3 linked regions of the Elephas maximus indicus genome follow. Each later gene encodes a partner of the first gene's protein in a complex. Links are inferred from orthologs where the notes say so. Each region holds a gene or a part of one and is shown in the gene's direction. Other genes may lie near its edges.

Region 1 (3,748 bases):
GGAATCTACTCCACAGCAACAGGTTTATCAGGCCTCCAGTTGGAGATGCCAAGTAGGATATAATATTGAATCTGGGTTCCACTGAAGAGATCTGGGCTGGAATGTAAGATTGGGAGTAGTCAGCAAACAGATGGTGTTCAAACCATGAAGCTTGATGACATCACCAGAGAAGTATGTGGGTTTAACAGAAGTCCAAGGACTGAGCCCTTCAATAATTAGAGGTTGGGAATAACAGAGGAGCCAGCAAAAAAGACTGAGAGGTGAAGTAGCAGTAAAACAGAAGTGTGATGTCTTAGGCATAGCTAACCCTCAGTCATTTTACCAGTCTCAGCTAATAGGTTAATTTGGAAAGCCCTTCCTGACACCCAAGACTATGCTATTCCTTACTGGAGAAACTGTAGTTTCTTTATTATGGAATGTATTATTCTAGTTGTCTATTTAATTGTCTCTTTTCTAGACTGTTGGGTCCTGAAGTGAGACAGTGTCTACCTTGTTCATTTCTGAATCCAAACTCCTAGCACAGTGCCAGGCACGTAGTAAGCACCCCATACATATTTATGGAACAAAAAGATCATTGCTTAGGAGAACCTGGTCTAACTTTGGGGATGCCGGGGAGTAAGAGCTTAAAACTAGGAGTGGGCGTGGTGGGGCTCTGACTACTCTAAATTCGCTCCACGACTCGGCTCCTACTCCAATACCTTTGTAAGAGTGTAATATGGACTCCCTTCTTTAATTCCCAGTTATTCCTTTGCAAGTCACCTCTAAGTCGTCCATCCTCAACAAAGCTGTGTTCGTCGCACACTCTGCCCCCCACCCCCGCTCGCCCACCCGCCCGCCACCGCTCACCCAGCCGCGTGGTGCGCTCCCTCGGCGCCTTGGGCCTGTCTCCAGTCCCATGTTCAGTCTCCAGCTCCTCCTGCTGCTGCCGCGCTTGTTGCAAAATCCGTCGGGTCAGCCGGGGGCCCACATATTCTTCCTCTTCTTCTCTGGTCCTGCGGCCCCTCCGTTTTTCCCGGGCCCCCGCCCGCACTGCGTCCGCAGTCAGGATCTGCTCCGCCAGGGGCGCGTGTTTTTCCCGATCCCCAGCCCCGCGTGCCGCCTTAAATTTTGGCATTTTCCTCAAAAAAGTTACCGGGAAGATTTACACGTGGGTACCGAGGAGAGAAGCCCAGCGCGCTTGCGCAGTGAACTCTCAGTTCCCAAGAGGCAGCGCAAAGAACAGCGCGACCCCCAGCGTTCGGAGGCCAGAAGTGCCATCAGCTTCTCCCCCCCTCCTAAGAGAGCTCGTGAGCCTTGGAGCTAGATACTCGAATACCTTCATTGCTGGTTCCTCTATGGGGTGGCAGTCCGAGCCATGCTTTCGTAGCTTCATGGACCCAGGCCCTGGATGCCCAGCCAAATCTCAGTTTCCGAAGCTGCAAACCTAGGGGCGGGAACTGAGCGGATGACGTTGCTGGAGGCGTCACCCAGGGGTTGCCCAGGCAGGTCTCTTTCCTCGTGGCGCGTCGACTAGGCGCACTGTTTTTACGTAACTTCCGGGGCGTTTCCCTCGCTCGAAGCTTTCCTTAGTGGGTTTCACTTCATCGAGAGTGCTGAGTTTCAACTGTTTGAAGCTGCAACCCTCTTGGCCGGACACCATGGGAGTGACTTGGTAAGACTGCAGGACCGCTCGGGATTTTGTGGGGCGAGACTGGGGGTCGTGAAGGACCTTCGGAGCCTCGAACAGACCTGGGAGGAACTACCAGGGTCCGCCGTCCCCCAGGGAGCTTAGCAAGATGTCTCCGTGTTGTGGGAATGAGAGGCACACTGTGAGGGCTGCGGGTTCTCCGGGCCTGTTTCCTCGAAAATGAGCCCCTGGAAGGCGGCAGGTAAAAGGTTTTATCCCAGAAACCCATTAATGTTTGTATCTCCCTTTTTTCTTTCTGCCTGTGAGGCCATATTACTGCTAGTAATAGGACTTCAGCTTCGGAAGTAGCATCTCCGGCCTGGCACCTATCAGCAGGCAACGCTGGAGGGAGTGGAGGGTAGGCAAGGAGAAGACAGTGTTTCTTTTAGGTTTTTGCCTGATCCTCCCTACAGCCACAAAGTGCAGTGAGACCAGTTTGTGTTTAGTTTCATTTTCGCCGTTTTAATACCTCGGGTCAAGAGTAAAAACAAAGCCACTGAGAATTAGAAGATGGGCTTCTAGTTGCTTTACCTCTTCAGGACGTGTTTCCTACTATGTTGGCTTCCATGGTTGGTGTAGTTTCTATCGGCCTTTTATTTCTAACATGTTGTAAGTCTCAGTTGGAAGAGGGAAAGGTGGGCCTAATGCTCTCAGAGGCATTATTTCCAAAAGGCTTAGTTTCAGGACGTTTTAATGTCATTCCATTCAAAGACATTAAAACATTTTTCCAGTCAGAGGGGCTGGAGCCCAGAATATCTGAAGTCAGTGGCTGTAGGCTTCTCATATAAAAGTGTGTAGGAGCATTTTTTTCTCCTGGTAGCCCAGGCTCTTGAAAGCTTGCAAGTGATTATGCCCATGTTTCCCACAGTTGATATATGATTCTCTTCTGAGTCCTGTAGTGTAAGAGGGATGGGAATGAAAAGTTTGCAACATGGAGGCTTGGGACCCTGGAAACCCCTGACACTTTGTCTGTTGGGACCCTTACCTTTTTTTTTTTTTTTTAAGAATCCTAGGACTTTTGTTTCTCATAGCTTTGGTTCAGGCATTTTCTTTCTTTTTTTTTTTTTAAATAATTTTTATTGTGCTTTAAGTGAAAGTTTACAAATCAAGTCAGTCTCTCACACAAAAACCCATATACACCTTGCTACACACTCCCAATTACTCTCCCCCTAATGAGACAGCCCACTCTCTCCCTCCACTCTCTCTTTCCATGTCCATTTCGCCAGCTTCTAACCCCCTCCACCCTCTCATCTTCCCTCCGGGCAGGAGATGCCAACATAGTCTCAGGTGTCCACCTGATCCCAGAAACTCACTCCTCACCATTTTCCAACCCATTGTCCAGTCCAATCCATGTCTGAAGAGTTGGCTTCGGGAATGGTTTCTATCCTGGGCCAACAGAAGGTCTGGGGGCCATGACCTCTGGGGTCCTTCTAGTCTCAGTCAGACCATTAAGTCTGGCCTTATGAGAATTGGGGGTCTGCATCCCACTGCTCTCCTGCTCCCTCAGGGTTTCTCTGTTGTGTTCCTGTCAGGGCAGTCATGGGTTGTAGCCGGGCACCATCTAGTTCTTCTGGACTCAGGATGATGTAGTGTCTGGTTCATGTGGCCCTTTCTGTCTCTTGGGCTCGTAATCACCTTGTGCCCTTGGTGTTCTTCATTCTCCTTTGATCCAGGTAGGTTGAGACTCATTGATGCATCTGGGATGGCCACTTGCTAACGTTTAAGACCCCAGACGCCACTCTTCAAAGTGCGATGCAGAATATTTTCTTAATAGATTTTATTATGCCAGTTGACTTAGATGTCCCCTGAAACCATGGTCCCCAAACCCATGCCCCTGCTACACTGGTCTTTGAAGCATTCAGTTTATTCAGGGAACTTCTTTGCTTTTGGTTTAGTCCCGTTGTGCTGACGTCCCCTGTATTGTGTGTTGTCTTTCCTTTCACCTAACGTAGTTCTTATCTACCATCTAATTAATGAATACTCCTCTCCCACCCTCCCTTCCTCCCCCCTCATAACCACAAAAGAATGTTTTCTTCTCAGTTTAAACTATTTCTCAAGTTCTTATAATAGTGACCTTATACA
Region 2 (3,748 bases), on another chromosome or scaffold:
GGAGGCAATCGTTCGGTGGCCAAGGGCCAGGGCCCTCTCGTGGCCTTTGGACAGCATCTCACGGGGCCGTTTTTACGTTCTGGCGGGCCGCCGGCTTGTCCCGCCGGGCCGGGCTCTCCACGTGGTGCAGAGACGTCTCCACTCGCAGAGTCGACGCCCGGATGTGGCGGGAGGACGTTTCCGTGCACTGGGAGGAGGTTTCCACGTGCTGGGAGGACACCTCGAGGACGTGAGGGAGCCGTTTCCCAAAGGGGGCAGTGGGGGGCCCCTCGCTGCGGCGCAGGGAGGTCTCCACCTGACGGGAAGACGTTCGCACCTGCCTAGAGGATGTCTCCACGCGGTGGGACGAGGTCTCCACGCGAACCGTCGAAGTCTCCTTATGGCGGACCGTCTCCACTCGGGGTGAAGAGGGCTTTCCCCTAAGGGGCGAGGCCATTCTGGGGCTGTATCGCGGGCCAACGAGGCCTCGAGGGCTCACAGCCCACGCTCGCCCTCCATCAAGCCTCTGGGTTAGGACACAGGGTCACTTGTTAAGGAATGACGTCATAATGACGTATTATGTCATTGCAGGCACAATGGTGGAAGACTACGATGCTGTCACGGGCGAGAGGGCCACAACATGATGACACGGGATACTGAGGGTCTTGTAGAGGCTGAAAGCCCCTCGCCCTCAGGACCTCCCGGAGGAAAGGCCGGGCTGCCTTGGGCTTGGCTCTCGCACCAGCCGGTAGCCCCTCGAAAGCTTGCGTGGGCGGGGCCAGGGCGGGGCCGGACGGCGATGGGCGGAGCTGAGAGCTACAGGGCGAGGCTCGGCCCACCTCCGCCCCCGGTATCCCACACTGCCCCGGGACCGGAAGGTGAAGCTGTGACTTCCGGCATCTACCCAGTGGCTGCGGTCAGTTGTTTTGTCGAGTGGTGGCGGGCAAGTGTCTTTGGTTTTTATGGCCGCTGCCGTCGCCATGGAGACAGGTGAGTAGCGCTCTGAGCCTCGAATATTCGCAAATAGTACTATTTTTGGTCCAGACACTATCTCCCGTTTCCTCTTGGCCTCCTTTCGGGCCTAACTCCCGGCAGGATTAGAGCCCGGAGAGGGAGGGGCGGTGTTTCTTGTGGCGTCTGGAAAGGCGAAGGTAGTTTTTGCCTTTTTAGAGTTTCGTTGGTTCTCAGATATTTTCTCCACGCTTGCTATGCAAACACTGACCCCGTCGGCTTCCCGGCGTGGGCGAGGCTGAGGTATCTTCAATGGCCTCCTCCTCGGTTTATTTTCTGCGTTTCAAATAAGCTTGCACAAGTTTGAAATACCGTCGACAAACTTGTGTATCATTCTGCTGTTATTGAAGTTTCTCAGGTGTGCACATACTTCATGGTCTTTCACACTCTGTGTAGTCGTCTTTTTCGGCTTGCATTTTGAGTTTTTTCCTGATTTAGCACTCACTGAACTGTACCTTAATTTAGTGACTTAACGATTGTTGTTATAGTGCATTATTAAGGTAGGGGAAGGCAAAATTGTTACAGCCTATTTCAGTGATTTAAAGTCCCAGTGGCCCCCAAGTGGTAGGTACTCTGTATATTCCTGCTTTTGTTGACTTCTCTTTGATGTTAGAAAAACTCCTAACTTATTCCTTTTAATCAGAGCTCCTCTTTTTTTTTAGACTTCAAAGGAAGGTTTACCTCCTCCCACACCCAGTTTAGGAAAATCATCATATACTCTTCTTTATACAGAAATGTACTTCAACATTAGTCAGGTTTCTTTATTACGGCCTTTCTACAAATCAGGATTACATATATAGTGACATTTATTTTGGGTGACTTTCGATGTCTTCTGTCCTAGATGATGCTGGAAATCGACTTCGGTTTCAGCTGGAGTTGGAATTTGTGCAGTGTTTAGCCAACCCAAATTACCTTAATTGTAAGTTGTTGGGCACCTCCTTAAATTGAATATGTACAAATATTAATGATTTCCGACAGAAGAGTTGCAATTCATAATAGTACCTATTTTTATACCTTTTAGCTTAATTGAGTAGAATTAGTGCTACACTTATACTGTTGTATAGATGTAATTGAGCATGCTGGAGCTTGTTTTGAATTCAGTGTGTGTTTGTGGTGGGGATGTTAAAGTAAGCAAATTCTTTGTATGTTAGGAGTCACAAACCAGTGGCCCAAGGATGGGTTTGACCTACAGATTTTTTTTTTTTTTTTTTTGTGCCTTTCAGTTCTTGCCCAAAGAGGTTACTTCAAAGACAAAGCTTTTGTTAATTATCTAAAATACTTGCTTTACTGGAAAGAGCCAGAATATGCCAAGTATCTAAAGTAAGTTTAATTTTTATAATCCTAAGTATGTGTGTGTATTTGTTATACTGATCTTTAACAGACTTCTTAGTTTCAAATTGGAAAAAATATATATTTTGATTCTCCGGACCTCTTTTAGTTGTCACCACCTTAATACAAGGCACCCTCATCTGCTCACTTGGATTACAGTGATCTAGTGACTGGTTATCACTGCTCTCACTCACCTCCCTCCCTTACCCCCAAACCAAACAAAGCAAAACAATATTTTCTTCACAGAAGCTAACTTTATCCCTTAAAAATGTAAATCAGAACACACCACTTTCTCGCTAGAATTTTTCAATGGGTTTCTATTGTATGCAGAATAAAATCCAGTCTTTGTTCATGGGCTAAGTCCGTATATGATCTGACCCCTTCTTGTACGACCTTGTCTTGTACTACTCACTCCATCTCACTCAGTTTCTGACCCTAAGGAACCCAGCTTAAAAGTGCAATGACATAGCCATAGGCTGAAAATTAAAGAACACAGAAAGGTGTACTTGCAGGGAAGGAGTTTCTGAGGTGCCCTAGACAAGATGTTGTTGTTAGGTGCTGTTGAGTTGGTTCTGACTCATAGCCACCCTGTGTACAACAGAACGAAACACTGCCCAGTCCTGTGACATCCTCACAATTGCTGTTATATTTGAGCCCATTGTTGCAGCCTCTGTGTCAGCTCATCTCGTTGAGGGTCTTCCTCTTTTTCGCTGACCCTGTACTTGACCAAGCTTGATGTCCTTCTCCAGATTTGTCCCTCCTGACAACATGTCCAAGGTACATGAGGTGAAATCTCGCCATCCTCACTTCTAAGGAGCATTCTGGCTATGCTTCTCCCAAGACAGATACGTTCGTTCTTCTAGCAGTCAGTGGTATAGTCAGTATTCTTTGCCAACGCCATAATTCAAAGGCATCAATTCTTTTTCAGTCTTCCATATTCAATGTCCAGCTTTTGCGTGCATATGAGGCAATTGAAAATACCATGATTTGGGTCAGGCACACCTCAGTCCTCAAAGTGACATCTGCTTTTTAACTCTTAAAAGAAGTTTTTTTGCAGCAGATTTGCCCAATGCAATATACATCATTTGATTTCTTGACTGTTGCTTCCATGGGTGTTGATGGTGGATCCAAGTAAAATTAAATCCTTGACAACTTCAATATTTTCTCCACTTACCATGACGTTGGAGTCCTGGTGGCATGGTGGTTAAGAGGCTACAGCTGCTAACCAAAGGGTCGGCAGTTTGAATCCATCAGCTGCTCCTTGGAAACCCTATGGGGCAGTTCTAATCTGTCTTAAAGGGTGGGTGTGCGTTAGAGTTGACTTGACAACAGCAGGTTTGGTACCATGATGTTGCTTATTGGTCCAGTTGTGAGGATTTTTGTTTCCTTTATGTTGAGGTAGACAAGGTAACCTTGCCTAAGTCTTACA
Region 3 (3,748 bases), on another chromosome or scaffold:
CCTAACCTCAGGTTCTATCTATATGACAATTCTACTTAACTCAATGTTCCTTTGTAACTAATGTTCCCATTGCCTGGAATTCCCTTTCATCCCTTCTTTATGTTGCTAACTCCTATAAATTCTTCTAGTTACTTTGAGCATTAATTGCCTCTTCCAGGAAGACTTCCCTGATGCCCCCAAGATAAACCAAGTGCCCTGCTTGCTTCCACAGGAGTTTTGGGGTGCAGAGGTTAAGCACTATGCGGCTAACTGAAAGGTCAATAGCTCAATCCCACCAGCTGATACAGGGGAGATGTGGCAGTCTGCTCTCATAAAGATGACAGCCTTGGAAACTGTATGGGGCAGTTCTACTCTCCTACAGGGTCACTATGAGTCGCAATTGACTCAATGACAATGGCTTTTCTACTTGCTTCCAGAGCAACTGAACTTTTCATATCTCATTACCCTATTGCATGGAATCACACAGGACTGCCTCCTTAGTTCACCTAATTCCTAAAACTTGCCTACGAATTCTTTTGAGGGCAGAGGTGGAGTCAACAGGTATCGAGTATTTTAACACACTAGCATTTTCAAAAAATGTCCAATGAAAAAATGAGTAAATGGGCAGGTACTGTATATAGGTTAGAACAGGAGAACTAGAGCTAGAAGTGGCAGTATAGTGTAGTAATTTAAAGGGTGGGGTCTAAAGTCAGCTGCTTAGGTTTGTATCTCAGCCTCTCCACCCACTTGTAAGTTACAGAACATCCAGTTGCTCGAGTTTCCCCACCTGTAAAATGACAGTAATAATAATAATAATAGAATTTGGTTCATAGGGTTGCTGTCAGGATCAAATTTTAAATTTTGATATTTTGTTCATTATGGGTTTTTCTAATTTTGTAAAATATTTCATTAAAATATCATTTATCTTCATTACTTTTTGGGGGGCACCTTCTTAAATGTTGTGCTCTAGGTGAGGGCCTCCTTGTCTCACCCAACTCCCAGCTCTGCCTGCACCTTAGTGCTTCACACACAAGCGGTGTTCAATAAATATTTTTAACTTTTATCTGTTTCCCTATATTTTTAAACTTGGGTATACTTAAAGTGAACTAATATTGAGTGTATTACTCAGCTCCCTAATTGTGCAGAACATTATGCTAAACAGTATAGGGCGCCTTCTCCTTTCACCCTCAGGTACACAACAGAGGCCTCTGTTTTATAACTTTCTCCCCTTCCACTCTCCTCTTTTCCCACTAAGAAGCGCTGTTAGGAGTTCAAAGTTTAGGCATAATCTTCAGTCCTACCAGTTCCAAGAGATTTCCTATACGAAAACGTCTTCAGGTCGTCAAACTTTAAAAAAAAAAAAAAAAATTCCTGCAGGACGGACTACGACGTCAACGCTCCTGGTAGTCCCCAAGAAAACGCACCGAAGGAGGCCACCATCTTCCAAACAGTAGCACTGCATCCGCGCTTGCTCTTCTGCTTGCCGGGCCGCGAAGAGGACGATTTCGTGACTTCTCGGCACCCGTACGTGGCGGAGCGGTAGTGTCAAGGTTTACGCGACTCCCTCTGTACTGCCGGAAGTAGGGAGAGGGGGCGATAATATGGTTGCGCGCGCCAGTGGACGTTCCGGGTTTGGGTAACCTGAGGGCTGGAGTGTAATTGTCGCTAAAGTTTAAAGGCTCCGAGGTGCGCGGGTGGATATAATTCCTGGCTTTGCTAGAAGAAGCATAGTGCGCGCTGAGGTGCGTTTCTAGTGTAAGTGTGCACGTATCCTGGAAGCCGGTAAAGGAGCCTTGGTGGCGCCGTGGTTAAAGCTCTCTGCTGCTCCCGGAAAGGTCGGCAGTTGGAACACCCCAACCGCTCGGCGGGAGAAAGACGTGGCAGTCTGCAGCAGTGTGCTTCCGTAAAGATTTGCGGTCTTGGAAACCCCATGAAGCAGTTCTATTCTGTCATATAGAGTCGCTGTGAGTAGGAATACACTCCACGCAGTGGGTTTGGTTTTATTTTGTCATCTTCAAAGAATTTCACTCTTTTTTCCGTCCCGCTTTAAAAGATGATTTCAGTATTCAGAGAGGCAGAGCCTAGGTTCTAGCCTGGTCCGGGCTCCGCCACTGACTTGCTGCGTGTCTTTATAGACAGGGTCCCATAAATCGTCTTTCAGTTCTTCAGAATTTTATTGCATGCCCATCATGTCGTTTGCGCTACAAAGTCTTGGGAGTTAGATATTATGGTCCCATTTAATAAGGAAGACACTGAGTCCCAGAGTGAGGAGTTCCACGGTTTCCTCTAACTTCCAGCTAACTTTTTGGAGAGTTGAGAATTTGACACTAGAACGTTATGCTGTAACTCCATGACCAGATCTTTTTTGTATATTTCTGTATCCGTGCCTGGCCATGTAACAGTTACTCAGAAAGTTTTGAATGAATCTTTTGATGTCCAGGCCAGTGACTCAAGCCAGTCTCTCCACTTCTCTGATGTTTAAACAAGTCTAACTCTTCTCCAGGTGTATCCTGTGCCTTACCTGATTGAGGGCTCTGAGTCCACTTCTGTGGTCTTCACCTTAATCAGACAGACACCATGGAGGCACCTCCAGTCACCATGATGCCTGTCACTGGGGGCACCATTAACATGATGGAGTACCTGCTTCAAGGTAAGTAAACCAGGGAACTTGGATTACCTGTCTTCCTCTTTTTTTCTTCAGCTTCCCTGGAGATGAGGAACTTATACAAAGCTGACATACACAATTTCTGACACTCAGTAGACAACAACTATTTTTTGTCCCAATATTTTATTATGGAAAATTTAAAGCAGCATCTTAGTTACCTACTGCTGTCATCAGAAGTACCACAAGTGGTAGCTTTAAGGAACAGAAATTTATTTTCTCACAGTTCTGAAGCTAAAAGTCCAAATCAGGGTCTCAGCTGTATTGATTCCTTATTTCAACCTGCCTCTTAGTTCCTGGTGTCTGTCGGTGACCCTTGACATTCCTTTGCTTGTAGCTGGTCCTCAAATGTCATTTGTCTTCTCCCTCTGTGTATCTCTGTGTCCATTCTGATCTTTTTATAAGTTAGAAGTTATTAGGTGTAAGATCCACCCTACCCTGGTATGATTTCATTAACATAAAAAAGAAACCGCCTATTTCCAAATAGGTCATGATTATAGGGACAGGTGAACTTACCAGACTGTCTCCCGCCTCAGTGCCTGTTATGGATTGAAGTGTGTCCCCCAAAAATGTGTGTCAACTTGGCTAGGCTATGATTCCCAGTATTATGTGATTGTCCATCATTTTGTCATCTGATGTGATTTTCCTATGTGTTGTAAATCCTACCTCTCTGATGTTAATGAGGCAAGATTAGAGGCAGTTATGTTAATGAGACAGGACTCAATCTACAAGATTAGGTTGTATCTTAAGTCAGTCTCTTTTGAGATATAAAAGAGAGAAGCAAGCAGAGAGGTGTGAGGACCTCATACCACCAAGAAACAAGAGTCAGGAAAATAGCACATCCTTTGGACCTGGGGTCCCTGTGCTGAGAAGCTCCTTGACTGGAGAAGATTGATGACAAGGAGCTAGCACTCTGAATTCAGTCTTCTAGCCTCCTAGACTGTGAGAGCATAAATTTCTCGTTGTTAAAGCCATCCACTTGTGGCATTTATGTTACAGCAGTGGTAGATAACTAAGACAGTGCCTTTACTTGATGACCCATCCACCCTAGATACTTTTTTCATATCTCTTCAAATGACCATCTAATTTTCATCCTTTGGGTCTCAG

What was found.
Region 2: MED20 (region 1) and MED31 share a complex: the UniProt entries of both Homo sapiens proteins name them as parts of the mediator complex. The link is inferred for Elephas maximus indicus from reciprocal best matches to the Homo sapiens genes MED20 and MED31.
Region 3: MED20 (region 1) and MED18 share a complex: the UniProt entries of both Homo sapiens proteins name them as parts of the mediator complex. The link is inferred for Elephas maximus indicus from reciprocal best matches to the Homo sapiens genes MED20 and MED18.

The regions. Positions count from the first base shown.
Region 1 is NC_064819.1:106,349,681-106,353,428, reverse strand, and holds the start of MED20 (mediator of RNA polymerase II transcription subunit 20), read left to right. Parts: upstream 1-1,514; 5' UTR 1,515-1,637; coding exon 1,638-1,651; intron 1,652-3,748. Other genes in the region: BYSL (bystin), read right to left, coding at 847-1,114. UniProt on the Homo sapiens protein: Component of the Mediator complex, a coactivator involved in the regulated transcription of nearly all RNA polymerase II-dependent genes.
Region 2 is NC_064837.1:16,396,827-16,400,574, reverse strand, and holds the start of MED31 (mediator of RNA polymerase II transcription subunit 31), read left to right. Parts: upstream 1-857; 5' UTR 858-941; coding exon 942-969; intron 970-1,831; coding exon 1,832-1,909; intron 1,910-2,213; coding exon 2,214-2,310; intron 2,311-3,748. Other genes in the region: C19H17orf100 (uncharacterized protein C17orf100 homolog), read right to left, coding at 59-436. UniProt on the Homo sapiens protein: Component of the Mediator complex, a coactivator involved in the regulated transcription of nearly all RNA polymerase II-dependent genes.
Region 3 is NC_064821.1:68,790,286-68,794,033, forward strand, and holds the start of MED18 (mediator of RNA polymerase II transcription subunit 18), read left to right. Parts: upstream 1-1,559; 5' UTR 1,560-1,665; exon of another isoform or gene 1,666-1,943; intron 1,944-2,482; 5' UTR 2,483-2,556; coding exon 2,557-2,629; intron 2,630-3,748. UniProt on the Homo sapiens protein: Component of the Mediator complex, a coactivator involved in the regulated transcription of nearly all RNA polymerase II-dependent genes.